7 linked regions of the Danio rerio genome follow. The protein of the gene in region 4 purifies or fractionates together with the protein of the main gene of each other region. This does not show direct contact. Links are inferred from orthologs where the notes say so. Each region holds a gene or a part of one and is shown on either strand. Other genes may lie near its edges.

Evidence for each region.
Region 1: the proteins of smad3a (region 4) and lemd3 purify together in Homo sapiens (affinity purification with mass spectrometry; 3 studies listed by BioGRID and IntAct, counting the BioPlex papers as one, with this or other methods). This does not show direct contact. The link is inferred for Danio rerio from reciprocal best matches to the Homo sapiens genes SMAD3 and LEMD3.
Region 2: the proteins of smad3a (region 4) and kat2b purify together in Homo sapiens (affinity purification with western blotting, with the first as the bait; 3 studies listed by BioGRID). This does not show direct contact. The link is inferred for Danio rerio from reciprocal best matches to the Homo sapiens genes SMAD3 and KAT2B.
Region 3: the proteins of smad3a (region 4) and hif1ab purify together in Homo sapiens (affinity purification with western blotting; 4 studies listed by BioGRID and IntAct, with this or other methods). This does not show direct contact. The link is inferred for Danio rerio from reciprocal best matches to the Homo sapiens genes SMAD3 and HIF1A.
Region 5: the proteins of smad3a (region 4) and runx3 purify together in Homo sapiens (affinity purification with western blotting; 3 studies listed by BioGRID). This does not show direct contact. The link is inferred for Danio rerio from reciprocal best matches to the Homo sapiens genes SMAD3 and RUNX3.
Region 6: the proteins of smad3a (region 4) and skila purify together in Homo sapiens (affinity purification with western blotting; 6 studies listed by BioGRID). This does not show direct contact. The link is inferred for Danio rerio from reciprocal best matches to the Homo sapiens genes SMAD3 and SKIL.
Region 7: the proteins of smad3a (region 4) and smurf1 purify together in Homo sapiens (affinity purification with western blotting; 3 studies listed by BioGRID). This does not show direct contact. The link is inferred for Danio rerio from reciprocal best matches to the Homo sapiens genes SMAD3 and SMURF1.

Annotation. Positions count from the first base shown.
Region 1 is NC_133179.1:13,491,760-13,495,685, reverse strand, and holds the end of lemd3 (inner nuclear membrane protein Man1), read left to right. Parts: intron 1-300; coding exon 301-382; intron 383-542; coding exon 543-648; intron 649-2,386; coding exon 2,387-2,465; intron 2,466-2,544; coding exon 2,545-2,711; 3' UTR 2,712-3,096; downstream 3,097-3,926.
Region 2 is NC_133194.1:23,127,088-23,131,164, reverse strand, and holds part of kat2b (histone acetyltransferase KAT2B), read right to left. Parts: intron 3,993-4,077; coding exon 3,854-3,992; intron 3,655-3,853; coding exon 3,509-3,654; intron 1-3,508. UniProt on the Homo sapiens protein: Functions as a histone acetyltransferase (HAT) to promote transcriptional activation. Has significant histone acetyltransferase activity with core histones (H3 and H4), and also with nucleosome core particles.
Region 3 is NC_133195.1:22,873,718-22,877,794, forward strand, and holds part of hif1ab (hypoxia inducible factor 1 subunit alpha b), read right to left. Parts: coding exon 3,972-4,077; intron 3,392-3,971; coding exon 3,135-3,391; intron 710-3,134; coding exon 483-709; intron 369-482; coding exon 246-368; intron 1-245.
Region 4 is NC_133182.1:34,223,798-34,228,334, forward strand, and holds the start of smad3a (mothers against decapentaplegic homolog 3a), read right to left. Parts: upstream 3,297-4,537; 5' UTR 3,097-3,296; coding exon 2,894-3,096; intron 1-2,893. UniProt on the Homo sapiens protein: Receptor-regulated SMAD (R-SMAD) that is an intracellular signal transducer and transcriptional modulator activated by TGF-beta (transforming growth factor) and activin type 1 receptor kinases.
Region 5 is NC_133188.1:48,796,011-48,800,718, forward strand, and holds the start of runx3 (runt-related transcription factor 3), read right to left. Parts: upstream 3,103-4,708; 5' UTR 2,973-3,102; coding exon 2,915-2,972; intron 1-2,914. UniProt on the Homo sapiens protein: Forms the heterodimeric complex core-binding factor (CBF) with CBFB.
Region 6 is NC_133177.1:40,281,856-40,285,932, forward strand, and holds part of skila (ski-like protein), read right to left. Parts: intron 2,547-4,077; coding exon 2,325-2,546; intron 1-2,324. UniProt on the Homo sapiens protein: May have regulatory role in cell division or differentiation in response to extracellular signals.
Region 7 is NC_133178.1:39,719,790-39,724,557, forward strand, and holds the start of smurf1 (E3 ubiquitin-protein ligase SMURF1), read right to left. Parts: upstream 3,219-4,768; 5' UTR 3,001-3,218; coding exon 2,946-3,000; intron 1-2,945. UniProt on the Homo sapiens protein: E3 ubiquitin-protein ligase that acts as a negative regulator of BMP signaling pathway. Mediates ubiquitination and degradation of SMAD1 and SMAD5, 2 receptor-regulated SMADs specific for the BMP pathway.

The sequences.
Region 1 (3,926 bases), on a different chromosome or scaffold from region 4:
TGGCAATATATTGACTATTACACATTTTATACGCTATTAAGGAGTCTAAAAATGTGATCACACATGCAACATCCTAGCATGCAGTATTGTTTTGGATGTCCTGTAAGTTTTCCTTTGTCTTTTAAAGCTAATGAATGCAGTGAAAATCAGGACTAAAAATTATCTTTTTATGTTTCTGTTGTTGAACAAAACAAACCAAGAAAATTACACATGTAAACAACCTTTATTTTGAGCATCCTCGTTGTTTTGGTGATTATCGTTTGTGTTTGTTGATTTAAAGTGGCTTGTTTTGCTCTTCAGCATTTCCGCTGGACCGAAGAAATTCGCCACCAAACAGCTTAACGCCATGCTTGAAGATTCGCAACATGTTTGATCCTGTAATGTAAGTTTTTCAAGGACTTTAACACATGAACGCAATTTAAATAGTTGTTCAGGCATGTAAAATCTATTTACTTTCATGTAATCATAAACTTTGCCTGATATTTGAGTAGTTTAGAGAGTAGTTCTCTCACTGTACTTACCATAATTTCCCTCTTCTACAGGGAAGTGGGGGAAAACTGGCATCTCGCCATTCAAGAAGCCATTTTGGAGAAGTGCAGTGATAATGATGGAATCGTTCACATAGCTGTTGACAAAAACTCAAGAGAGGTGAGTGGCTTGTGTGGGTTGTTCATAATTTACACAATGGATCTAAAAGTTCTTGTCCAAGAGCTAGAGACGCCCTACAAAGCGAGCTTAAACAGAATATTGCGTAAAATTCATTTTCATTAAGCTGTGTGAAACCATTATTAACTAAAACTTTCAAATTAAGTTAGGATATCTGTAAATATTTTTTTTGTCGGAAACTTAGCGCTTGGGGGAAAAAAATGAAATACTTGATGTGATACAAAACTTTTTATGAATTTATCAAGTATTTGAAAATAATACCATTATTATGTCAATATAAATTATTAAAAAGTTTTATATTATTATTTTTTTTTTGTATAATATGTGTTTAAACTGTACTTGAAAACCAAAACCACACTATACGACCATATGTGCATAAGTAGTATTTCTTAGTAGGTGACATCACTAACTAATGGCCTGGCATACAGCATTTAAGTTTTTTTTGTTTTTTTTTTGGGTGCAAAACTTTCCAAACACAGAACCATTTGGTTGTGTGAATCAGGGTGTCTTTAAAAGTCTTGAAATGTCTTAAAATATTGATTCACCATCATAATAATGGTAATAAACTGATTAAAAACCCTGTACAAGTCTAAAATTTCATTTTTTTATGGTTTTTTAAAGGGTCTTAAAGTCTTAAAATTATTTAAATTACAAAAAGTAAATTTTAGCCCTTAAAATGTCTTAAATTTGCAGAAATATTGTGTTGTAGGTTGTGTTAAATAATTTTAAACAGGTCTTAATTTTGCTTTGTCCAAGTAAAGCTACTCAATTGGGCTGACATGCCTCTAATCACCAACAAACCATTTAAATAAAACCTTTTATTTATATATATATATATATATATATATATATATATATATATATATATATATATATATATATATATATATATATATATATATAAAGACTTTTAATATATAGACTTTTTAAGACCCTTTAAAATAAAAATGAAATTCTAGACTTGAATAGGGTTTTTTTCATCAGATTATTTATTGGGTTTTTTTAAAGATTTTATATATATATATATATATATATATATATATATATATATATATATATATATATATATATATATATATATATATATATATATATATTTTTTTTTTTTTTTTTTTTTTTTTTTTTTGCAAGAAGATACTATTCACAACAGCTGTTAATTTTTTTTACTGCAAATTCCTTATTTAAAAAAATAAGAAAACCAAAAATAATTATGATTTGTTATGATAGTACTGGTAATAAACAAAAAAAAAACCTGTATAAGTCTAATGTTTCGTTTTAACGGTCTTAAAAGTCTTAAAGATTTGACTGTATAAAACCTGCAGAAACCCTGGTAAATGTACCCTAAAACTGAAGAAAAAATTGTATAAAGTTAATTAAAAATGTTAATGGATATTATTAAATCGCATATCAAAATGACATAACCTGAAATGAACAAAATAAATAAAAATCCAAATTAACTACCAATTACTATCTGCAATAAAGTTTGATCTTAAACTAACAAATCCTAAATATAAAAGACTAAATATTAGGTGAAATAATCCACGTTTAAGTACATTTAAGCTTTCATCTCTATTTGAGCCGGGTATTCGATGGTTGCCTTGTTCCCAAAAGACACGACTCTCCCTTCACTAAATGAGTTTCATTGTGTTTTTTGCAGCAAAGTAACGTCCCTAGAGGCTTTTAGCTAATGAATTGCTTATATGATCTTATTCCCGTCTAGGGCTGCGTTTACGTGAAGTGCCTTTCAGCAGAGCATTCTGGGAAAGCCTTCAAAGCGCTCCACGGCTCCTGGTTCGATGGTAAACGACTATCATATTTCCTCTAGTCTAATTATCAATTTTCAGTACGCTTCAACAACATGTCACATGTTTCCAACAGGTAAGCTGGTGACGGTCAAGTACCTGCGCCTGGATCGCTACCACCAGCGTTTCCCACAAGCCCTAGGCTCCAACACACCTCTCAAACCCTCCAGCTCCAGCATGAACAGCATGTCTCGTCTGAACCAGCGCTCCAGCACGTCCAGCTTGAAGGACACGTTCTCCTGAAGGACATGCAGGACGGCCACCAACCATCCTCTCTGCTCTCTTTCACCATAAACGAAAAGCTCCCAGCCAGAGGGAAACACGTTCAGGAGCAGTCGGGCGACTAAGGACGCCCAATCAGTTTTGTCAGCCATATGCAAGCAATGGTGTTTAAACCTGTGAGCTGCTGTGTTTTTGTTTCTATTTTTTTTCCCTCTGTCCGTTGGAGTCAAGGGAGAAACTGTGGCGTAAATCAGTGGAAAAGAGAGCATTGTTTGCTCCGGATGAGAACTTTTAGGACACAATCCTTCTCATGTCTGGTGCAAGTGGACACACATTTCTGGTTCTTTGATGTATTTGCTTTTGTTTTTATTTGAAATATACCGTCTTTATGGATTCAATAACAAAATGGCTTCCGACTTTAAATCTTACAACAAACACAAATGAAAGTTTTCCGGCCTCTTCTGCTTCTCATTTTGTTTTGTTACAAGTAACTAACTCCCCTCCTTAATTCCAAGGAGCTCTGTTGGGCTATACATAGCTGCATGTGCTGGTTAAAGTATGCCTATATTTAAGCTTTGAATTGTATCATATATTGTGGATGTTTATTTCCCTGAGGATGTTTTTTTTTTAGCTGATGTATTCCATTTAATTATTATTAATTTGTTTTTGTTTTTTTTGGGCCTTTTTTTGTAGTTTTTAGTCCAAGAACGGCATGCACACACACTCTAAAGAAAAAAAGGAGTGCTGTAAATATCTCATTGAATGGTGGTGGTGCTGGTGGTGGTGGTGGTTGAAATCATCTGTATGAAATTGAAATCGTCATAAGCTCTCGTTTGTTTCTTGCCAACAGAATAACTACACTGCTGCATTCAGAGACGCGTGTCATGTGGAGAGACCATTCGATGCCATGTTTCTGAACACTAGTCTTAATTGTCACAGTCTGATTATATTCAAGTATATAATTATTTACTGTTGTTTTTGTTTATATTTTAAAGGTTATGCTTTCCCGTTATAATTGGTGGTGCAGATGGATGTTATTTTTTTTTTCTCCGTTCATCTCCCCGCTATTCATTACTTGGCAATTTTAAACGCCATGCAATTGCTGTTTTTAATCTGTTCCCGACCCTTCTAAATTTCCAAAAGAGACACCTTTTCTTTTCGATGGAAGTTTTTCTTGTACACACTCGTGCGCAGCCTGATCTAATTGTAATTTGTATGGAGACACTCATAAACAGA
Region 2 (4,077 bases), on a different chromosome or scaffold from region 4:
ATACGGAATGTAAAATTACATTAATATACACTCAACGGCCACTTTATTAGGTACACCTGTCTAACTGCTCGTTAACGCAAATTTCTAATCAGCCAATCACATGGCAGCAACTCAGTGCATTTAGGCATGTAGACATGGTCAAGACGATTTGATCTACTGCCGTTCAAACTGAGCATCAGAATGGGGAAAAAAGATGAATAAAGTGACTTTAAACGAGGCATGGTTTTTAGTGCCAGACGAGCTGATCAGAGTATTTCAGAATCTGCTGATCTACTGGGATCTTCATGCACAACCATCTCTAGGTTTTAAAAAGAATGGTCTGAAAAAGAGAAAGTTTCCAGTGAGCGGCAGTTCTGTGGGCACAAATGCCTTGTCAGAGGAGAATGGCCAGACTGGTTCAAGCTGATAAAAAGGCTACAGTAACTCAAATAGGCACCCGTAACAACTGATGTATGCAGAAGAGCATCTTTGAATGCACAACAAGTCCAACCTTGAGGCGAATGGGCTACAGCAGCAGAAGACCACAGTGAGTGCCACTCCTGTCAGCTAAAAATAGGAAACTGAGGTTACAATTCACACAGGCTCACCAAAATTAGACAATAGAAGATTAAAAAAGCGTAGCCTGGTCTGATGAGTCTCAATTTCTGCTGCAACATTTGGATGGTAGGATCAGAATTTGGCATCAACAACATGAAGGCATCGAGCCATCCTGCCTGGTATCAATGGTTCAGGCTGGTGGTGCTGTTGTAATGGTGTAGAGGATTTAATCTCGGCACACTTTAGGCTCATTAGTACCAATTGAGCATTGTGTCAACGCCACAGCATACCTGAATATTATACTTAAGTACAAATCATTCCAGACTGGTTTCTTGAACATGAAAATGAGTTAACTGCACTCAAATGACCTCCAAAGTCACCAGAACTCAATCCAATAGAGTACTTTTGGGATGTGGTGAAACGGGAGATTTGCATCATAGATGTGCAGCCGACAAATCTGCAGCAACTGCGTGATGCTATCATGTCAATATGGACCAAAATCTCTGAGGAATGTTTCCAGTAACTTGTTGAATCTGCGCCACGAAGGATTAAGTCAGTTCTGAAGGAAAAGGAGGCTCCAACCCGGTAATAGTAAGGTGTACCTAATAAAGTGGTGAGTGTATAATGCTGTTCAAAACTAAAGGTCAGTGATTAGCATTTAAAGTATTTTAAAAATGAAATGAAATTTTAATTGCTTATCCTTAAGTTATCCTCAGAATATATGACTTCCTTTTCTCAGATGAACGCAACCTGATTAACACCATGCTGAATTATGGTGTTGCGTTTTTTAAAGCTTCCAAAAGTACATTGGTTCTTTTGTACAAGTTGTTGAAAATGCGCATTCAGCAGCTGCCGGAAGTCAGGCATTTGAGTTTATAATTTTAAAATTATAAATATTTTTTTGTTACAAAAACATACTTTTTTTTTACTTTTACTTCATACAACATGCGTTAACCTCGTGACAGCATATGGGTTCATTTTATGACAGATTTACAAGCTTAAAAAATGACCACTACCCAACACCATTATACCTGGAAGAGTCAGGATAAAATGTTAAACTACTCTGGCTGTGTTTGTCTGAAAGAAGAAAGGCATGTACACTAAGGATGGCTTGAGAGTGAGTAAATTATGAGGTATTTTTGCATTTTTAATGAACAAATAAAAACGGATTAAAATTATTAAAAGTGACTAAAGACATTAAAAAAATATGTTTTAAATAAATACTGGTCCATTGAGCGATTTATTTACCTTTATGTGTTTTGGTTTCCACAAAAAATATTAAGTAGAAAGCAACATTGATAATAGCAAGAAATTTTCTTGAGCACCAAATCAGCATATTACAATGACTTCTGAACAATCATGTGACAAATGAAAATTTACAATCATATGAAAAAGAATAGAATTTAAATTATATTAAAATAGAAACCAATTCTTTTAAAATGTAATTATGCCACAATAATACTATAGTATGATTTACTATATTTGTTTATAAAACACTCTGTGAGCAAAAGAGACCAGAAATCTTTGGTAATTATATTCATAGTAATATATAATCAGAACAGATTCTGTAATCATTTAAGCACCAGGGTTCCCAAATATCCTTGTTTTCCAGTCATGGAAATAATCTGGAAAATTATCGAAATGACCAAGTGTCCTGGAAAAAGTCCTTCTTGATCTAGATTTTGTTATTGTTGTTGATGTATTTTTCAGTTTGAATCTACTTACTGTTGATAAGCCAAATATGATGACAGCTGAGCAAGGTTGTGGCTTCTACGGCAGAATGGTAATTACAGTTAACGTCAGAATTATTAGTCCCCTTTGAATTTTTTTTTCTTTTTTAAATATTTCCTAAATGATGTTTAACAGAATGAGGACATTTTCACAGTATGTCTGATAATATTTTATTTTCTGGAGAAAGTCTTATTTGTTTTATTTCGGCAAGAGTAAAAGCAGTTTTGAATTTTTTAAAAAACATTTTAGGGACAAAATTATTAGCCCCTTTGAGCTATTTTTTTTTCGATAGTCTACAGAACAAACCATTGTTATACAATAACTTGCCTAGTTACCCTAACTTGCCTAGTTAACCTAATTGACCTAGTTAAGTCTTTAAATGTCACATTAAGCTGTATAGAAGTGTCTTGAAAAATATCTAGTCAAATATTATTTACTGTCATCATGGCTAAGATAAAATAAAACAGTTATTAGAAATGAGTTACAAAAACTATTATGTTTAGAAATGTGTTGAAAACATCTTCTCTCTGTTAAACAGAAATTGGGAAAAAATTAAATGGGGGGCGAATAATTCAGGGGGGCTAATAAATCTGACTTTAACTGTATATTTCAGTTTTCACCCTCTGAGGTTTCTCAAGTGCTTTTGTAGCCATTTTTTTTTTTGAAAGTGCATTTCATTTAGTTAAATTTTAGTGTTTTATTTTGGAAGAACGAAAATTGATCATACACATTTTTTTGACCACTTTATATATTTTTTGTTTTATAACGATTTTAATATAACAAATTTTAAATTTTAAATAAATTGCTCCGGGTGCTCCGGTTTCACCCACAAGTCCAAAAACTTTTGGTATAGGTGAATTAAGTGAGGTAAATTGTCCCTAGTGTATGTGGATGAATGAGTGTGTATGAATGGATGTTTCCCAGTGATGGGTTGCAGCTGGAAGGGCATCCGCTGCGTTAAAACATATGCTGAATAAGTCAAAAAATCATGTGTCTGACCCACTTCCATTCTTCTGGCCTACTACCGTTCCATTTTCCATACCTTTATGGCATTCACATTCAAATTAAAAAACAACATTTAAACAAAAAAGCAAAAGTTAAATTAATTGCAATTTCAAAAAATGCCTACAACAAGTCCATTTGAGATCAACTCCTGTCATAGTTTATGTTCTGGAAATTATTTCTTCTAAAGAGTGGGAAACCTGAGTGGGACCAATGTGTAACAACCCAAATGACTCACTTTGAAGAGAGAGAAGTAAACTTGTTTAGTGTCAGGATCCTCCTCTTTATGGACACACGTGTACAAGTACTCCACATCCAGTACAATCCCAAGCAGTCTGTTCATCTCCTCTTCTGACACATTCTCCAGGTGCGTCACATGGTCACCTAGGCAGTAATACAAACACATGAAATTGAGACTTTATTTGAACCCTAGGGATTGATGACATTGGTCTAAAAGTTTTTTACTTAAGGTTTACTGAAATGCATTATCCCTAAACCTTAGTTTCTCTATGGTTGAGAGCACAAGGTTTTTTTCTTCTGGAACTCTGTCGTTGTGCTCTGTTATTACACAAACAGTCATTACCGAGGGCGTGGCTGCAGCTTCTGCATGGCTCCATTAGGCTGACAGCGGTTGGTTGCTCAGCCCTGGGTGGGGTTGGAGGAGGCGGAGTAGGGGGAGGGTTTTGACTCTTCCAGCCATTACACTTACAAGCTCCTTCAGCCTGTGTGAAAACCAAACAGATCATTCAGGAGCAGACATGAAAATGACATATTACAAGCCTGTCGCCAGGGGGGTCCCACCCCTCA
Region 3 (4,077 bases), on a different chromosome or scaffold from region 4:
TATAATTTATTTTTCTTTCGTTTTCTTTGTAATAATATAAAATAAAAAACTTAGTCTTTTTTATTTGCATATGTACTTATCAAATCTGTAATTGTGTTTTATGTACATGTGTATATATATTCATATTTGCAATATATAAGCAATACTTGACAAGTCATGCCAATAAAGCTCATTTGAATTAGAATTTGATTTTGGGAGAGAGTGAGACAAACAATATGTAGTTAAAATCTTAAATAAAAAGTTACCTGGGTGGAAAAAGGTGTCTTTGCTTCGGTATCAATAGCAAACAGTTTCTCAACCAGGTCGAGTTTAAATTCAGAACTGATGTCTGGTTCCACTGGGAAACCGTAATCCATGGGGCTGTTGGGCTAAGATTGACAAAAAAAAACAACCTAAAGTCAGTGACAGTATCTCATTAACCATTACAAGGGAGCAATTGTTGTTAAATGACCAAGAATAGCAAGCGTTTAATAAGTGTTTACCCCCGAAGAGCCGAGTCCAGATGTGGAGGGTGTGTTTGTGGGGTCTGGCACACGATCAGAGGCAGAGCTGAAAGGGAAGTCCTCTCCTCCAGTCTCTAGTTTGGTCAGAGCTGGGATGGAGTCGCTGGGTGTGAGAGGAGATAGGCTGAGTGGCAGCTTCTCACTGCTGGAAGGCAGCATGACATCATTGTAGAGGGGCACCTCCTTCAGCAGCTGTATGTCAGAATCTGGAGGGAAATGGATACCGGTAATTATTATTGGTAGACCACCAAGGAACTGTGTGTATTTAATATTAGATTTACTTCAGTAAAATTATGAAAGCACATTTCCTGTAATCTCAGATGATTAGTGAATGACAAGAGTTGTTAGTCTTCATAAGATAAAAAGCTGCCAGGGGATTGCATTTAATCCTCTAAAGCAGTGTTTCTCAACTATGTGCCTGGAGGACCACCAACACTGCATGTTTTGGTTATCTACATTGTCTGTCACACCCATTATAGGCCTTTCAGTCTCAGGGAAAATGTGCAGAGCTGGTGGTCTACCAGGAATGTGGTTGAGAAACACTGCTCTAAAGATACACACTCTTGAAATGTTTATGGTCAGTAATACAGAGTTCACACCAATTGCAAGTTGAAGTATTCACATGAGTAGATTACATCCAAATTCAATGCAAAATTCTGTTAAACATAAAAGATGACTTTAGCAGAGTATAGGAAGTTGGTAGCCATTAGCTATGTAACAAACCTAGATTATCGCATAAAATGTGTGTATAAAGCAGCGTTTCCATCAAAGCGAACAAAATAGTCATTTCCTGATTAACTGGCACCAAATATCAACCAAAAAAAAAAACGAACTTGCTGGAGTAGAAGAAGCTGTGTCAATCTTCTCTTCATCTAATAAATGATTTGCACCTTAGAAGGCAATCCTGACACGCAATGAATGCGCAGTGGCGTTTGAAGGTGTGAGACACGAAGCACAGACGCTCTTGATTCTGGAGGTCATTAATAATATAATAACACTAATACTTAAACGGTAAGGCAATTTAGAATGACCAAAACAACATTTCAGCTGTTTTATATTGTGCTCAGCCAGCTGGTTTGTCCATTTACAAACATTTTCATCACATGATCTCTTATAACAGAATCACATGACCATTTTTAATGCTCATAATGAAATTTGTGCGGTAAAAGTGTTTTCATCGTAGTTTACACTTCTTTTCTTATCGAATAACAAGTTTATCCTACTCAGTTAAGCGCATAAGTTCATGCGCATTTTCAAAATGTATGCGCATCGTGGCGTTTCCATCAATCGTTTTTTTTTTTTTTTTTTTTAAATAGGTGGATCGAAGCATAGCTACTGACTTACATTGTAGGAAAATAAATACCGTTTAAGTCAAATGATACTAGTTTCCATCATTCAATAAAGAAACAAACATTTTTTTCTTCCATTCAGCATGCGGTATGAACTTCCATTACAACAACTCTTCCAGCAGTTCATAGTTGCATCCAACATCTCGTTTGTCATCGGGGGCATGCACGAATGAAAGTGAAAGTGCCAAACCGCAGTTAAAGTTGACAAATTAACAATAAAACACCCGAAATTACATGAAACTTCGGAGGAAATGCGGATAATGCGGTGACGCAATGACGGTAATCTAAGTATGTGCTATAACATGTAAAATGTGATCATGAAAGAAACTTTCAAAAAGCAACTCATGTAAACGCCTTTATCTTATTATTGTAGATTAAGGCAAATAATTCGATTACTGATGTCCATGTAAACATAGTCAGTGAAGTCTCTTACGTTGCAACAGAAATTTATTCTCTAAATAGACGTGCATTTGAACTTTCTACTCATTAAAACATTACAATTTTCAACAATGACTACAATAAATATTTCTTGAGCGAAAATCTGCATCTTAGAAATGACTTCCAAAGAATCCTGTTAAACTCTAAAAGCATACATCCCTGTTCATACATCCCCCAAATTACACTTTAAAGGTTTGTTTATGTTTAATGCCATGCCAGGTTCTTTGGTTATTTTCATGGCGAGAAAATATCAACTGACTGCAGTAAAGCTTAAGTATTTTTTCATTTATTGCTAAAATCTCTTAAACCATATTCGGTTTAACAGTGATAAAAATGTATTCAAAAGTAGCATAGTGGAACTAAATAAAAAAATGTCTCAAAGAATTAAAGCCAACACAAACTGTGTTGAGAGAGAACATGCTTCACAGATAAAGTGCTTTTGCAAAGACAACAGATTGGAGGATCTACTCCTACAGGTGAAAAACATACTGGGAGTATCTATAATTGTACTAAAAAACTGCGTGTCATCTTTGATTGACCCATTCTACAGTGGGTATAAACAACTTGATTCCACCAGTTAGAAATTTTAAGGTTTCTTTATCAATATTGGGGCTAATTTCACAGAGTTCACTTTAACTGTAAAAAATTAAAACTATAGACTAGAAGTGTTAATAAACATTGCAGGAATGTCCCTTAAGACTAATCTAGATGTGAATATATAAAAAGATATGTGCATCTTTGCTCATGGATCTTTTAATAAGCTCTCATTGAAACTGAATGAATTTAGGTGGCTTCCAGTTACTCTCAAATTACTGAAAAAATGTACCCATCCAGCAAGAATTACCTGAGTTGTTGAAGTCCAGAGAGATAATGGCGTCGCCTGCTGCAGGTGCCAACACAGTGAGGGCCTCTGGCTCCTCTTTCAGCTTATTATAAAGTGTAGAGCTTTCCAATGAGCAATTGAGGCTTTCTGGCTTGAAGAGCTTGAGAATATCCAATTCAGAGGTCTTTTCCTCAGTCTCCTCACTTTCTTTCTCAACAGCCTTGGGCTCAGTCACGGTCTGCTGCAAGGACAGGACTACATCCCCCTCTACAATGCCACTGGATAAGACAGAGTAGTAAAGTTGAAAATATGAGTTAATTAGCATTTATGCATACATTTTACATAGAAACGCACAATATATCATTTCAGAATCAATATCACAAGTGAATCCACAATAGTTCTATTGCAGGACCTGCAATGTCAAATTAGGATTATAGTTGACCAGGAACCACAGGAGTTTTCAAATACATGATTTGTAAAGTCATTGCTAATTTGAACTTTAAAGGTACAAAAAGTTTAACATTTGTATGTTTTTAAGGCCTGTGACAAATGTATTTCTATATTTTACATGATTTGATTATTATATTTTCGTCAGAATTCTGTTTGACTCATAGAAATAACATAATGTTGTGCCCCACTGTATTTATCAATGCTTGTGGCTGATTTATTGAATATTTTGTACAAATGCACTCCTCTAAAAATGATTGTTTCCAAATACAGTCATTCATTTCATCTGTTGAAGTATACAACAAATCGTGATATGTATAGCAGAAAAATAAAATTTAGCACTGTGAATGTTCTTATAAGAATATGCACAAAAAGCTTCACAATATTTTGTTTCTAAAACAGAATCCATACCTGAGAACGTAGTTGACGCACACAATGCATTGCGGCTGAGAATTCTTGGGGTTGTAGATTACAGTGGCCTGAGTCTCAACCCACACAAAACCACCTTTCTTAGCCA
Region 4 (4,537 bases):
GTGACCCTGCTCTCCTGTTACTACTGTGTTACTTTGCACTACATTGACAATGATTGGAAGCTACACCAGAGATGCCTTGTTAACGGCATGTTTTCCATTATATCAAAATTAATATTCAAATTAAAACATTTGTTTACAGAAGATGCAGGAATTGCACTGTCTAAAATATCATTTAGAGCATGTACAAGAATTTTATTTAGAATAGATACTACTTTTAGAATAAAAAACATAGAAAATAATAGATTTTGTTTCCAAAAGTGCAAGTTATTTATTTTCACTTTTATATAAGAAAAAAGTGACTGTTGGTTTTATGCAGTGTGTGTTTTAATTTCAGTTGTTCAGTGTTGATGTTCAATAAATAATCATAGACAGTAGATCATGTGTGTTTCCTTCAATTATTTCAGAATCAAGTAATGCACCCTTCATTCAAAAATCTTTCACCTGTAATATGTGAGCATATTTACTGTACAAAACTTGTCAGTTAACTATGAGGGCAAAAAATAAATAAATAAATAAATAAATAAAATAAGTATCCATTAATCATAAAGTGCAATTAATCGAGATTTTAATTAAAGGCCAAATCTTGTATAATTTCAACATACTGTAGAACTTGGTCCCATTTTATATTGCTACAACTACCTGTAATTATACTTGTGATGATTGAGAAGCCTTACCCTAAACAGTATTTTAGTGTATTCAAAATACTTTAACACTCTAGAAAATAACACTGATTTTCTGTACAATTAAAATCCACATTTATTAAATGAAATTGAGATTTAATTCCAGATTAAATTCCATCATAAAGATAAAAAACTGTTACATACTGTGACTGCCATCACAAGAACATTTCCAGTCAAGAGGATGCTTCAATTTTAAAAAACAGACACTGGTCTGGGGAGTTTGGTAACCTGATTTAATTACCAATATGGCATGAATTCCTTTACTTTTTACACTCAGTACATATGAATTACACTCATCATACACATCCATCTGGTTTAACTTTCACATAAGGCCTTTATCTTAGCTGTTTTTGTCACTTTTAATCCCTTTTAACTTAGATGACCCGTAGTCTAAGAAAAATTATTCTTAGATACTTGTACAGTTCAAAAGAATAGCAATTATATGTAAGAGAAATCCTTTTTAACATTTCTATTTAGCTTTTGATTCATTCAAAAGCATTCTTGCAGAATAAAAGTATTCACATTTATAAAATTGAATATTATTGTGTTTAAATAATATAATATAAAGACAACAGATGAGATGGATGTTACAATCCCAATGACATGATTGTTTATTTTATACAGCATTTACTATTCTTGTCACCGTCAGAGCTGAGCAATTAATCGAAAAGTAATCGAAATCGACATTCAGAATCTATAATCGAAATTTTTCCAGGTCAATTTTTTCAATTACTTTCCCTATTGTGTGTGGAGTCACACGCGCGAGTTAAGGCTGATGTAAACCTGTGCATCCAACTCACACGCAGCATTGCGCGATAGCATACCCCACACCTGTGCAGTGTGTGTTTTAGTTTCAGTTGTTCAACGTTGATGTTCAATAAATAATCATAGACAGTAGATCATGTGTGTTTCCTTCAGTTATTTTAAAATTAAGTAATGCACCCTTCATTACAGCCTTCATTCACCCTTTATTACAGGTAAGAAATCTCTTACCTGTAATATGTGAGCATATTTACTGTACAAAACCCGTCAGTGAACTATGAGGGCAAAAATAAATAAATTAATAAATTAATTAATTAATAATCGTTCATTAATTGTAATCGAGTTGAAATGATAAATTAACCGAGATTTTGATTTTAGGCCAAATCACAGCCCTACTTTCAGGAGATTTGGCACCAAACAAAAGATGAGGAACAACATAGTTGTATCATTAAAGTTAACAAATAATCCCCTAAGATCTGTTGGTTTAATTGGCTATATATTAATTTGTGATGAAATCCAAGTGAACTTCTAGCTGATTATCTACTGAATCTGTGTATATATATATATATATATATATATATATATATATATATATATATATATATATATATATATATATATTTTTTTTTTTTTTTTTTTTTTTTTCAGAATGCATATGAAAAACCAAATGAACTTCTATAATAACTGGCTATGTGTAATATATACAACTCAAACAAGTAAACCAATGTTTTTCTATATTGGCTGAAGCTTGAAATGCCTCTTGAAACTAAAGGTCTGCTGAGTGTAAAGGCTTGTGGGCAACCCTCGAGTGGACCATACGGGCAAGACCTGTGGGCAGTTGGCCAGCATCGCACTGTGACATAACAGGATTAACCAGCCATTGCAAAACTCAGAGGGATAATAATAACAACAATACAATTCATACAACAACCCCGTCCACATGTACACTCTAATGAAGAAAAATAATAAGTACCAAATGTCTTATATATGCACCAACCAACCAAAATATAACTTAAAACACAAACATCGCAACACATCGTTTAGCCCAGATACAGCAGCTACAGCGCTCCTCAGATTAAGGTCGGGCTGTTATATAACCTCATCAGACAGTAAATGACAACCTCAGGCAAGGCAAATGTGTGTTTGTGAAAGCACATGAGAGAATAAAGTTGAAATAAATCAACTGGAGTGTCGGAATTTGATCAGAGAGCGAGATACGAGCTGCAGCACATAACGTTACAGTAATGAGACGCGGTTTATGAATTAACGTGATATGAGAAACACAAGAGTTGATTTCACAATAAAAGAGCCTCTGCTGGGCTTTTTCTTCAACTTCGCCGTGCTGGTGTTTAGCTTCAGTTTGAGACTGTCCGGACGGGTTCTGCTAAAATCAATCGTCACAACCCGATGCTTCTCTAAGTAAAGTCGAGGATGTTTTTAATGGCACTCACCGCGGTATTGTGATGCACTTGGTGTTGACATCCTGAGTTGTGATGGCTTTCTCTAGCTCGTCCAGCTGTCCCGTCTTCTTCAGCTTCTTCACTAGACTCTTAACGGCCTTTTCGCACCATTTCTCCTCCTGTCCGTTCTGCTCTCCCTTCTTCCAGCCCAGCAACCTCTTGACGATCGGCGGAGTGAAAGGTAAAATTGACATGTTGAATTCAGTTCAGCGTTCCTCTATTGCGCAGTCTCTCACGCAACTCGGAGGGAAATTAGGGATACTTTTTATCTTCAGCGTAATCCGAAGGTTTTGTGTCAAAGTAAACTGATTAGAGCATGGGAATAATATGAAGAAAAGTGAGAGGGACTTGAGACGTGACTGAGACACGGTCTCAAGTTCAGCGCTCAGCACAGCTCTCTCTGTCTGTCTGTCCCTTGAGATCGTCAGGCATAGCTCGCGCCACACACCGCTGCCAGGCCGTTCAGATCACTCCGCGTAAAAAATAGTTCCTCTGCATCCGGTCAGCACAACACTTTCTGCTGGTAATTAAAACAGATTCATTTAATTTAAAAAATATAATACCTCATCTGTGACTAATATGCAGTCAGTTCCTGAGCATTAATATTTTAGAAAGTGAGGTTTACTTAAATCTAAAGTCTTCCGCTGTTCTGCGTGCTGCGGCTCTCTGACGTAACGTTACTGAAGCTGACTGCACTCAGTGCTCTGATCATTTAAAAGTTTCAGTTTCAAAGTGCTTTAGAAATATGTGCAGAATATGTTTAGCAAATGTGTACAGCCACACCAAATGACGACTTTATATACTGATATCTTGATAAAGCATATTTTATGGTGGCCCCTTCATGAGGGTAGCATTTGACATCAACAAAATAGTTCTGTACATACACAATAAGATGAACAATATGCTATAGATTTAGGAACCATGTCATCTATTTAAGACAGGATTGAGTTGAACCTTCTGAAGTTTTATTGTCCCCTTCCTCCTGTGCTATTGTAAACACTCATAAAACCCGCCCAATAACCACAGTGACACACAGGAAACGGGTTATACAAAACCTTGCTTATCATTTACAGACTCAGTAAAAGTAATTACACTTTAATTCTCAAAAGAGTAAAGATGTTCACTTTTCTTCCTTCTACCTTTTCCACCCCCACTTTTTCTTTCAGCATAGCACTGTCTGTGTGAGAAGGGGATCCCACCAAACGCAGCATACAGTGTTTAATTAATCTGATACTGGGCATGGCCTGCTTTTTTTAGTGAGGGAGTGGGGATGAAAGATACAACGCTGAGTATGCAGCAGCCTTGCCTGTGCATGACAACAACAATTAATCATGTACGTCCCTAATGTTGTAGTAAATGCTCAAAATCCCAAAATGCAAGTCTCAAAAAACAACACTTTTTGAGGATGGGTAGATTGTATTTAGCTAATACATATGAGGTGGATTACATTATACTAAGTTTACTCTTTTACTTTTAAATTTTTAGTTATTCTAATGTGATGGCTTTGTTTCCCCCCTTTAATTGTTTATCTTGAATGTTTGTGTTTGACTTATATTGTGATCACAGACTGCTATCTTTAACACACACACACACACATACACACACAAACGCACACATGGACATATGCCGAAGGGA
Region 5 (4,708 bases), on a different chromosome or scaffold from region 4:
GGGACATCTGCTAGGATTGCTGGAGACAGAGAAACATTTCTCATCTCAATGAGTGAAAGTTACAGCGGTGTTGCCATGGAGTGTTTTCTTCCGTGCCTGCTGGCTGCCTCATTTCTATTGGGCACACGCGGACATTCGTCCCAGCGCGCTTCATTCATAACACTTCAACATAAGTTTTTTTAAAGTCGCTGCCTAGCGGGACATAATACGTAGATAACTGTATATAAATCAGTGCTTAATTTGAGCCGGATCTTGCCGGATCCTGTTTCGGAAAATGTCAGATATTCGTGTTTTGCTTTCTGGTATTCATTTTAATGAGGTCGGCATTAACTTGTTGTGAATACCTCTATGTGTGTGTGAGAAAGAGAGAGAGAGTGTGTGTGTGTGTGTGTGTGTGTGTGTGTGTGTGTGTGTGTGTGTGTGTGTGTGTGTGTGTGAATGAATGAGAGCAAGCAAAAGTCACTTTAACTATTGGCTATGAACAATATTTTTATCCAGTCATCTTTTCTTACATTTCCAATCACTCTCTTTGGTTGAACAATAAACAATATTGTCCTAAACAATATCTGTTTTTTTAAAATAGCAAATTTTTGCAAATATTTTCATTTTTTAAAACTACAAGTAAATCTGATAACGAGGCTGATCAAAAAAGCATATATTACATGTGCATTACATATATTTCTATTAGTGGTGCTGCGCTAACGTGAGACTCTTGTGCGATAAAAAAATATCGCCGTTAATATATTCTGGGTCTATTCTACGCAAGCTATGATGACTTTCACCTTGATATTTTAGTGCGGATGTATACCTGACCGGTGAGCCGTCTGACAAAAAAGTGCCCTTCTGAATCAAATCAGCAGGATGCCCCTCTGGATCTTTCACTTACTTCTGCAGTTTCACATTCATTCATGAACCTTTCATTCATGCTCCCATGACAAACTAGAGTATTAGATGCAAATAAGGAGTAAGGATGGTGAGAGTGTTATAGAATTTAATAACGCACGCAGAATGGAAAGAAAAAAAAACTTCTGCATTTCGCAATGTGTGTGTGTGTGTGTGTGTGTGTGTGCACGGTCCTTTACTGACAGCCGCGTGTGTGGAATTTGTTGTAAAATATGGCGAAAAGTCCTACATGACGGTAATAGTTTGATTGTGGTGTTTACTTCAATAACGCCACTAATATCTGCATACTCCACATGTCTTAATTCCATTTCTGTTGAGTTCAGTTATGACTTTAGTCAGATTAAGGTCATCAAAAACCGCTGTTTGGAGCTTACGTAGGACTACAGTTCAAAATTCATGTTTAACTGAATAAACAGTCAGTAAACACAAGCACATCTTATTGAACATCATTTATTTTCATCATTAATTATCATAGAACAGTTTCTCAAGCAGTTTGTGATGCATTTAGGAAACAGGAGATGAGCCCCTGGTTTTAATGCACCACCTGGCTTGAGAAACCCGTTCTTAAAGACTTACTTTTAGTCATTATTTGGGTAGCACACTTATCCTGAATGCCTTCGGCAGGATTTAAGTGAGCCATTTTAATCTAGATTAATTTCAAGATTACAGTGAGACTAATCTAGATTAAAAAAAATGTATCCATGCCCACCTATAATTTCTATATAATGTAAAAGTAGTCAAAACAAATGACAAAACTGTTGCTTTTTCCTGTAACAGCACGGTGATTTACAGTAAATCTAATTATTATTGTTATTTTCATTATTATTATTATTATTATTTTGACAATTATTATTATTATTTTTCCTATTTATTACCGATTGATTCATTTTCTTATTAATTCTTAATTTGTTTATTTTTTTCATCTTATTTTCTGTTAAAAAAATAAAAATAAAGAGATTTGAGAAGATTGGAATATTTTTAAACAAGTTTTTCTTGTGGAAAACCTGATGCGGCCCAGCCTAACCCGGACTCTGCCTCCAGCGGCCCACATGTAAATTGAGTTTGAGACCCCTGTTCTATATTTTCCCCCACTGCAACTGGGAATGGGACTGTATATGGACGTCTTGTAGTTCTATAGATTTGTGACATCATCAGACATTTGCATTTGGAGTGACCACAGAGATGCATTATGCACAATTAGACAAGGTCCATGTATTAAAGAGTAAACATCACTTTAACCTAACACTCACTTTAGTCTTCATCATCCCACCCTAAACGAGCTCTGCGTGAGGATCATGAATCTGCTTTGTTTTTCCAAACAAAGCCGGAGTCAATCCAAAGAAAAAGGAAGCACCTCATCACATGTTGACGTTACCATAGTGACAAATGGCCTCTTCTGAGGAGCTCAGGAGATGCAGATGCCAGTAAATCACTAATGTTGACTTGGGCTCGTACCCACACATATACACAGCGACCACAGAAAGGCCGAGAGTGCCCTGGCTCCAGAAGTTGACTGGTTTGCGAGTTCCAGTAAAGGTTGGTCTAGCTGGTTCCTCCCTTGCGCCCTGCGCTGAGAGTGCGTTTATAGTGCTAATGCTTGCGGTGAGCAGGCCATTATGATCCAAACCCTGCTCCAAACAGACAGCCGCATTACAAAACAAACATCTAACAGAAGACAAATGCGCAGGTAACTCCAACTTCCACAGATCTGTGCAGCGAGATCCCTGCCTTTTTATTTGTACCTTCTCATGGTTTCTTCGAAGGCCATTCAGACACATTATCATACCCATCTCAAGCAGTTTGCAGAAACAAAGCAAGCATTAACTGATCTAAAGTCAAACGTCAAACCCACATGCATGTCACACTTTCACAGCTGCTAAACTGCCACAAACAAACATGCAAACTACAGCAGACAGATAGCTCTTAAGAGTGCTACGGCTACCAAAACCAGCTTTCTAGACACCACAGCGGTGAAGAAAAAAGGAAGGGAATGGCACGGCGGGTGACTTACCTCGCAGCAAACTGGGCGAGTAGCTAGAGAATGTGTCGAAGATGCTGTTTGAAGCCATGTGTCCCGCTCTGAAGGGAAAAGAGCTGGCCTCTCCGCCGTCGTACCGTCTTCAGCCTGAGAGAATGACAGTCGGAGAAAGAGAAATACAGAAACTACATAGACAGCCTGCAACCAAGAATTTGGGGTTTGAGAGTGCCACAGGAATCTTTCGCCACAAGCCGACTAACAGAACAGCATATGTGCCGTGTGGTGAGAGCGAGCGAGAGTGAGAGAGAAAGAGAGAAAGACTGAAAGACAAAGTGAGGACAGCACTAACTCTCATAGAAATGGACTCACCTTTGTTGATGGACACTTCTGTGCGTCTCTCTCTCTCCAGAAGTGGTTGCTGTAGAGTCTACGTGCCTTCAGTCAGAGAGTTGAAATGTCAGGTGTCTGACGCTCTTACAGTGGTGATCACCGTGGTAAAGGCCTGTCAGTCGCATGTCTGAGGTATCCGAGGTCACAGCTCCCGCGGTATCACTGCTGCTCGCCAATCCCATGATCTGATAGGTGGAACTCCAGTCACATGACGTTCTCTCTCTCCCTCGCTTGCATGCATTCAAGTTCTCCTTTTCTTCCCAGTGCCTTTCTCACTCATCTGATTGGCCCATGGCTGGTGTTTGAAGAGTTTCCCAGAAGATGATGGGACCTTCTTGAAGAGGGGACCACAAAAACATACAGCTCATACACAAACTCTTGAGTAAAAAAAAAAGTACAAAATGAAGGATAGCTGAGGATTATTAGGGAAAAAGAGAGTGTTGAAGTGTGTGAGGGTGTGTTCGAGTGTGTTTTGGTGGTTTTGGGGCCTGTTAAACCACCCTTCCACCCTCACTCACCACTTGATATTATCTCGATGTTAGCCTCATTAAAAACAGCCACTCCAGTCATTTCATGCGCCCTCTTTTTACCCTCATTTGTACCTAATACTCTCTGCTTTTGGAGTTTGACATGGTTGCGGCCGGCCTATTTCAATTTCCGAAATATTGAGGTGTACACCGTGCATGTATGGCCTGATTTCAGTGGCCTGGTTAAAAACAAATGTGTGCTAATCTAAACTATCTATATGTGTATTTAGGTGTGCATATATGTGTAGTGTCCCCAGACCTCATCTCACAATTTGAAGCAGTTTTGATTCATAATCATGAATGACAGATGAGACAGACTAACAGATAAGACGACTAAGGAGAGTTCTGGGTGGTTTCTATAGTTTTAGCGGTAACACTTTACAATAAGGTTCATTAGTTGATGCATTTACTATCATGAACTAATCATGAACAACACTTGTACAACATTTATTAACCATAATTGAACATTTACTAATGCATTATTATCATTCAAGTCCATGCTTGTTAACATTAGTTAATGCACTATGAGTTAACATGAACTAACAATGAACAATTTTCATTAACTAGCCTTAACTAACATGAACAAATACAGTACTAAATGTATTGTTCATTGTTTATTCATCTTAATAAATGCATTAATTAACATTAACTAATGAACCTTATTGTAAAGTGTGATCGTTTTAGCTAGCTTGTTTATTTGCTGGTTTAAGAAGAATATGATAAACAGAATGTTATATGGATGGATGGAATGATGGATGGATGGATGGATGGATGGAACGATAGATAGAATGATAGAATGATAGAACAATGGATGGATGGATAGAATGATAGATGGAACAACAGAACAATGGATGGATGGAACAATAGATGGAACAATAGAATGATAAAACAATGGATGGATAGATGGATG
Region 6 (4,077 bases), on a different chromosome or scaffold from region 4:
ATTGTTCAGTTTGACTACACTTTTGTTATGTTGGTGGCTGTTTTTGCGTTACTATCTTCCACTACAACAACATTCTTTGATTGCAAAGCCATGACGCCAAATAATCACGCACTCCTCCCTGTTAGGAAGAGGTAAAATGTGTCATTTTTGCTGTTGATCATGAGTTGGCAGCATAAACCCTTTAGAAAGGCCTGTGCAAACATGCTTTAAACACACTTACTATGCTCTGAGAGCCAAGCAGCATTTTGATTTCCTCAGATATATCAAGATAAGTGCGCAAAGGTCTCTCACACACACACTATACTCCACATAAAAGCCAGAAACAACATTTGTTTTGCACTGCAACTGATGATCAACGGTAAAAATGACAAATCGTACCTCTTCCCAACAGGGAAAACCAGCAACAATCAAGAATGCATACTAATATGATGCAGAGGCTTTGAAATAAAAAAAAGAAAGTAAATGGGGCAAAAAGGTCACTAACACAATGGAAGGATATTAAATTTGCAGAGTGTATTGTTGAGTATTTGAACATTTGCGTCAAAATAAGATTGGTCACCAAAAATCATTCCATTTGCTGAAACACGGAGAAAACTGCGGGCAAATTAATACTCAAAATCAGCCCAGAGTACAGACAAATCTCCACTTCAGCAGCACTTACATACTCCAAACTTACTATTTTGCAGGTTTTTATGAAGGTATTTGTTCATACAAAATTAGCCTGATCATATGAAGCATTTGTTTTCTGGCTGTTCACAGAATTATGGAGTGAAAAATACACCCAACTAATGAGCTCAGGGGCTAAAGAAAACAAGCAAGAATACTAGATACTAGTACTTAATCCTTACATACTAGTATTTACCTATAAGATACTGTTGCATTAAAACAAACACTAGTTCTTATTTAATGAATGCTAGCACTCACTGATTAGGTACTTGTGTCTATAAAATAGATATTAGTTCTTACTTAAAATGTTATTAGCAAGATAATTCAATTTACTAGTCAATTTTTTTTACTGAACTCCACTGTGTCCAATAATGCTAATCAGAAAAGAGGAGTACCATAATAATTCAGAAGATCATGTATAATAAACAATAACTACTAGTTTCTAATAATAGGGACTAGTATGTAATGAGTATTAGCATCTAAATTCCAGCATCGAAAGGTATTAGCATTTAATAGCAAAGTACTGGTGTCTATTTAATAGTTACAAGTATCTAAAGCAAGAAAAACATGGAAAGCAAGAAATGAGTCAGCTGCCTTTGAGCATCAAGTTTGCTCAGAAGGACAGAATTAACTTTCTAAGTAACGGAGAAGTTCAATCATTTAAATCCGACGCACATTTTGTGAACTTCAAGTTAAGTGTTGTCTAGCTTTATTCCTAACATTTCTATTTAAATTGGGGATTTTTAATCGTTGATGCCTATTTTTATCAATATTACTATATAACATTTTTATTATTTAAAATAAAATTCAGCTAGTTCCAAAGGCAACATTTCTAATCTTTAAGTACTTCATTTAAACTATCAAAATAATTTCTAGCTGAAGTTGAAATTGACCATTTCCATAAATGTTATCATCAATAGTAACACGGAATTGATGATGTCTAAATATTAAAATGAAAATATTTTGTAACATTAAATGCACAGCTCAGAGATCACTTGCATCCAATATAGCATTAATGATGTGTTTGCAATGCATTAATTACAATACAAGTGCTTAATAAAGGCCTCTAACACAATTCTGTAAGAAATAACCTTAATAGGAAAACATGCAAATCTTATTTAGATTTTATTTTGATTTCAATTTGCTCTGTGTGCTAATATCAGCACGGATAAATTGGTACTATTAGGTATTATGATCTGATATAATGAATGCCAATTGACAATTGACAATAACAAACGTGGACGATTATCAGATTATAACACATCACTTCCCCTACAATCTGATAAGTGCAGATTCACTACATGCAATGGGCAACCCTCTGACACAGTGCTTCGACAAAGTGTCTGGTGCTGTCTGTCAGCAAGGTGTGAACTGCCCTTTATACTGTTTATTTGTTTTAAAACATTTGTAAGCCACTTGACCTAGTTGATGACTGAAACGCAGGAATCAGGCCCACTGTGCAAGTCATCCTGGCTCTCCGTTTCAATGTGCATGCGTATCTCTCTACAAATAACTGAATCACTCCCACACAGATGAGCCGTGCTGATACAAGCAGCATATTCCACTGGGTGCAGGGATAATTCACACTGGGTATAGTTTGTGTTGTTGTGGTTGTTGCATCACATCGTGATTTCGGGCATGCTCAGATATGCATTTACCTGTGCATTGTACTGTGCCTCCTGCTCTTTAGGCTGACAGGCGCAACTCTGCTGTTTGAGCTGCTCGAGCCGGTGCTCCAGCTGCCTCTGCTCCTGCCGCACCTCCCCCAGTCTCTGAGCATGCTCAGTGTGCACCGCCTCCAGCTCGTTCTGCAGCTCCAGCTGCTCCGCAGACAACTCCCTGAGCCGGGCCGCCTCGCCCCCGCGCACTGCCTCCAGCTCCTGCACACACAACATGACATGCGTCAAACTATCTGTGCCAGAGCTTACGGGTCTGCAGTGGACAAGTCCGGGCTCACGCTGTAACAAGTCCTTTCACTTTTCACATGACCAAAAAAAAAAGAGCTTTCATGATAATATATAAAAAGACAACTATGGCTCTGTTCCAACCTCATCAAACTGCCTATTAGACGAGTTGTTTTTAGAGATTATATGCATGCATCTGACGCAAAAATCACACCGCCTCTTCCAAGATAAAATCTAGGGCAGAATCGCATGTATCATTTTAAGGATGAGACAATCCCAGAAGCAATATGGCAAGCTTAATGAGCATTTTCATCCAAAATGGCAGCAAGAATTGTTGCATACATGCATTAAAAAAGGGTACAGATGAAAATTGATTGTTTTTCATTATTTGTGCTTATGAAGCTCAAGATTTTTACCATATGTAATTTCACATGTCAAATTATAAGCAGCAGAGATGCTTAAGGGTATTTTCTTTTTCAAACTCAAACGTGTCAAAGCAATTTATAAACCACTTACATAGATATGAATGAAATGTATTACAATTGACACATTGAATTAACATCAGTTTCATTGAACCTTTTTAAGCATTCATCAGCAAACATTGTGAGCAGATTAAGATGTGTACTATCAACAAAACAAAAAAAAAAAAACATAAATACTTGGGCTTGACAAATAACATGGTTTCCCCCACAGTCCAAAGACATGCACTATAGGTGAATTGAATAAGCTAATCTGGCCGTAGTGTACATGTGTAATTGTGAGTGTGTGGGTGTTTCCCAGTACTGGGTTGCAGCTGGAAGGTCATTTGCTGCATGAAAACATATGCTGGATAAATCAGCGGTTCATTCCGCTGTGGTGACCCCTGATGAATAAAGGGACTAAGCCGAAGGAAAATGAACTAATGACAAATAACAATTATTTCTACATTACTATTTGCATTATTGTTTACCACTCTGTTCCTGTAGTCACTTTAGTGTGTATGTTTCCCTGTATATTATATTTTTACTACATAACATAATATATATATATATATATATATATATATATATATATATATATATATATATATATATATATATATATATATATATCATAAAATCACAATTAGCCTTTTAAACAGCTTATTTGTAGGGCCCACACAAAATTTGTGCGTGCAGAAATCTGGAGATTATAGCCCATCGTTGAGTCTATTCATTTACTTGTGTTAATGTTAGGGATGCTCTGATCAGGAATTTTGCAGCTGATTTCGAGTAGCAATCCCTCGTCATTTTAATCAGCCAATACCAAGCACCGATTTTGATGCTTCAAGCTTTATATAACTTTGCCATTGCATAAGCACATTCTCCCTCTATGTATAAGAACTCACCTTACCTAAGAGAATAAATTAGGAATGTTGCGTACATGTAATGGTTAGAAGCAGCTTAACAAAAAATAACAGATAAAACAGATAGAAAAAAATGGTAAGAAAAATTACTGACATTGCAATTTGGAAACACTGAGCATGTGT
Region 7 (4,768 bases), on a different chromosome or scaffold from region 4:
TTAAATGTGAAAACTATAAGTTAAACTTAATTCCTTCATTTTGACCCTACAGAAATTAGTTATGTAGAACCCAGCAGTTTTTACAGCGCATGGCAAAAATATTTCGATATAAGTTGATAATGCTTCCAGATTTGGTACATCTCTAATATCTATACACTTTTAGATTCCCATTGTTGCACATTTCTGCAGTGTGATTGGCTCCGAGATCAATATAGAGTAAAAAAAACTTCCAAGCTTATATTTGTTATTGACATCAATTTTATTGCGATTTGATATAATACCATTTATCGGCCATATCGTTATATGACGATATAAATCATCTTTATGGCATGAAATGTGTATATTAATTTTATTTTATTCTGTGTATACCACCAAATGTAAATAAGTGGGAGTGGCGAACTCACAAGCATTATGCATAAGGCCAAGAAAGACACTACATGGGAGACTGGCAGTGTTGCCAATCGCTTAATTTTTTCAACGAGAACTGATCACTTAGTTTCAGTATTTATCCATGAATTGTAATTGAGGAGTTCAAATGCAAGAACCTAGAAAATGCCATCTGAAATTTTCTTTCAAACTGAGAATTTTTTTCAGGCTCCTGTGTGTAAGTTTAGTAATAAACACATTTATAGCAAATAAGTCATTTTTATGGTCTTTAAAGTAAAATAATTCAACATAAACAAAGGAGGTTGAAAAATAAAAGTTTATTTTTGATGGACATTTCAGACAGCGCATAGAGGTTTTAGCATCTGAACTCTTGAATTGTTTTTATTTTGCATTTTTAAAGGAATAAAAAAAAAACAGTTTGATATTTCCTTAACCTTTTAACCGCCCACCAAGAAAAATATTTTTGGATTGCATTTCTTAACTCGTAATGTCGCTAGTTAAAACACTAAATCAATTTTTTCCCCCATAAACTTACCATAATCCCATAATTTCTACAATATTAACATGTACAAAAATGGTAGAAATGTTAATTTATAGTAAAACTACAGAAATTAATTCATATGCTATGAAAAATATGAAAGTATAAAGTCTAAGACTATTTTATATTTTAAAATATAAAAAAATAAACATTTTTGAATACCACATGAATTTTTTTGATGTATGCCGAAGTGGTGCGACAGGATTTTCTTTTTTTCTTTGTAAACCAACAATGCTGTATTGTGTTAACCATTCTTTAAAACTCTCTTTAAAATGACTTTAACGGTGATTATTTAAAACAGTAAAAAGATGGTCAACCGTGTGGTAGAGCAGGCAGTTATAGGGATAAAGTTTTTTTTTTTTCCATAGGATAGTTTTGTATCAGAAGATGATGTGTGAAATGTTTATAATAATAAGGTCTGTCCACATAAAACTGTGAAAATGTGAGAGTGTAATTCGTTCATTAAAAGTTATATTTGGTTTACAATATTTATAGTAAAGTTAAAATAAAATACAAAAATAATCTAACAAGATTGAGTCATCTTCTTTCCTTAAATATTTAAGCTTAGTTATTTCACAAAGCTTATTTATTGCACACCTTTTAGTAAATTCTCTGGAATAACTACCCTCATAATAAAACTATATCATGAAAGATATCATCTAATGTGAAATAAACTTTCTTCATTTATAATTTATATCTGATGTGGTTATATTTGACTAAAACACCACAAGCATTTGCATTTTAAAAACACTTTCTTATCATGATAATCACATTTTTGCTTGTTTCCTTTTGTTGTGTGTTTGTGTTAATGGTAATGTGCCAAAACGTTTAGTTTTTCATACCATTATGAAGACAAATATGAAAATAAATGACTGAACCGCAGCAGAGCATTAACGTTCATTTCAGCATTTACCAAACTACTGCAAAAGTTGTATATTTTAAAGCTGTCTCTGAGCTAACATTGACAATGAACTGTTGTACTCTGTAAACAAAAGATAAAAACGGTTCAATTCAAGTTTACTTCGTTAATAATTATAATAATAAAGCAGCTTCACAAAGGGTACACATCATTACTACATCCAAAATCAACAAACCACTGTAACAAACACACTGCTCAATATAAATGAAGGGCATTAACATTTACAAATGAAACTTCACTTTTAAAATCTAATATACAAGAATAAAGAATAAAACGTTTAATCTGGTCTCTACTGAGTCTATAATAAAATGCAAACCACATAACCTTGTCATTTGGCGTTTACCAGTCTTCCTATTCCACAAACGCTTTAAAGGGCACTGATAAGTCAACATCAGATCTGGTTTAAAAAAATAAAAAGGCAACTGTAAAAGCACTCCTCCAGGGCACTGTCACTATGTCTGTGATGATATCAATGAGATCAGTATGCATCTATCATATCCTGTTCGTTTCCAAGCAAAGAGCGGTTTCAAAAGAGTAAGGAAAAAAATCCTCCCCCAAAAAACCCATCTGTGGATTGTGAAACAGTACACTATCACATAAAGATCAACCCCATAGTTAGCTTACTTCCGAAAGCAAGCACAGCGCAATAAGCAAAACATTAATGAACAGTCTGTCACGTATTAAAATCTTAATTTACAACGAAGACACTGGCGTCCAGATGAGGGGAAACCGAGAAAACAGCTGCCTCTGCCTCATCCGGTTTATACTCAGCTGATTTATGACTAATCCAACCTAACAAACTGTGCACGGGGAGCTGCTTTCGGCTGATAACGTTCACACAAGTGCAAATAAAGCAGGTCCACTGACTATTGTGCTGTTTATTAAATAAAAAAGGGATGCTTCTCGTGTTAGCATGCGTTTAGCATGAAGAGACAGGGCTGCAGCAACTCGCCTCAGCAGAAGCTAGCAGGATCCTCGCTTAGCGTTTTACACACATTTGCGACCGACACACAGTTATAAGCTAACCAAACGTATAAAATGATAACTAACAACAAATTAGTACATTAAAGCGATAAATTAGCGTATTAGAGGGTGTTTTACCTGTCAGTCGGATTTTGATGCTTGACCCGTTCCTTCGAGTCCCAGGATTCGACATCACTCCCACAAAAAAACCAACGAACTTTCTCTCAGGATAAACCCAAGACGCTCGCTTCACGAGGATATAAAAACGTATAAAAACACGCGACGCGATCGTGTGGCCTGTGCATGTGTTTCTCGGCGATAAAACGGTATTATTTCCGTCTGGCAAATCCCCTGTAGCTTTCAGACTTAACAACACAGGCTAACATTTTTTGAGCTCAACGGCGTTCTGACATCACGTTAGTACAGCTGTACGTGCACGTACCCGCGGCTGGGCGTGCGCGCGCTCTTCTTCCTGGCGCTGGAAGTCCGTTTGTGTTGTGTGATGTAAAAAAGGATATTAGTCATGTGTGTCCTGATTTCGAATTATGCTATGAAATTTCGTGCTTTGCGTGTTTTTCCAGCCACGTCAGCTGAAGTGAATTGATGTATTTTTTAAGTAGACCAAATGTTATTAAGATTAGATAGATCTAAACAACAATAAAAAGGATTTATTAATAAAATAAATACAGGATAGATAGATAGATAGATAGATAGATAGATAGATAGATAGATAGATAGATAGATAGATAGATAGATAGATAGATAGATAGATAGATAGATAGATAGATAGATAGATAGATAGATATGGATGGATGGATAGATAGATAGATAGATAGATAGATAGATAGATAGATAGATAGATAGATAGATAGATAGATAGATAGATAGATAGATAGATAGATAGATAGATAGATAGATAGATAGATAGATAGATAGATAGATAGATAGATGCATGGATGGATGAATAGATGCATGGATGGATGGATAGATGCATAGATGGATGGATGGATGGATGGATGGATGGATGGATGGATGGATGGATGAAAGGATGGATGAAAGGATGGATGGATGGATAAATGTAGAGATAGATAGATAGATAGATAGATAGATAGATAGATAGATAGATAGATAGATAGATAGATAGATAGATAGATAGATAGATAGATAGATAGATAGATAGATAGATAGATAGATAGATGACTGCATGGATCTGGGGCAGATTGATGAATTTGTTTGTCATTTTCGCAGCATCCATAACATTTTAAGTGACCTGATTAGCATTAGAGGTTGTTGTTTTGAGTTTGAGTAATAAATAATGAGATGATGGATGCAGATGATTTCCATTACATTTGCATGATTGTGATTGCATTAATTGCGGCTTGATAATTGTCGCGTTGTAGAAGCAAATAAGGTTAGCCTGAGCAATAGTGGAAGGGATTGGATTGGAGGACTTTAGCAACTGGAAACAATAGAGCCATTTAATAGTGTTGTGCAGAAGAAAAGCCAATCCACGTAAACAGCAGGCTAATGAGGGTGGCAGGCCACACACTGGCCTTTTTCAATCCGTCACCACTTTAATGAGCAGAGAGCCATTGTACTCTTGGCATAATAATGAAATGTATTTGATCTGAAGACTCATTAAAATGGAAACAAATACATATTAATGCAATTAATTAAATCAGTTCATTGTGTGGGATGCAACGTGGCTTAATGAGGTACATCTGAAGATGAAACATTGACATAAATGTAAACATTAGAATGTATTGACTGATCAGTTTAATTATGTAAGGTTTTGACACTTTATTCCTCACATAGATATTGATATGATATTGAATAATAGCTCAGTATGAAATGGTCATTTGACTCTAAGGAAATTACAATAGCTATACTATAATAAATATATTGGTCACTCTTTTATAATATGCACTTAATTCACAATAAATATGTAATGAATATTCAGA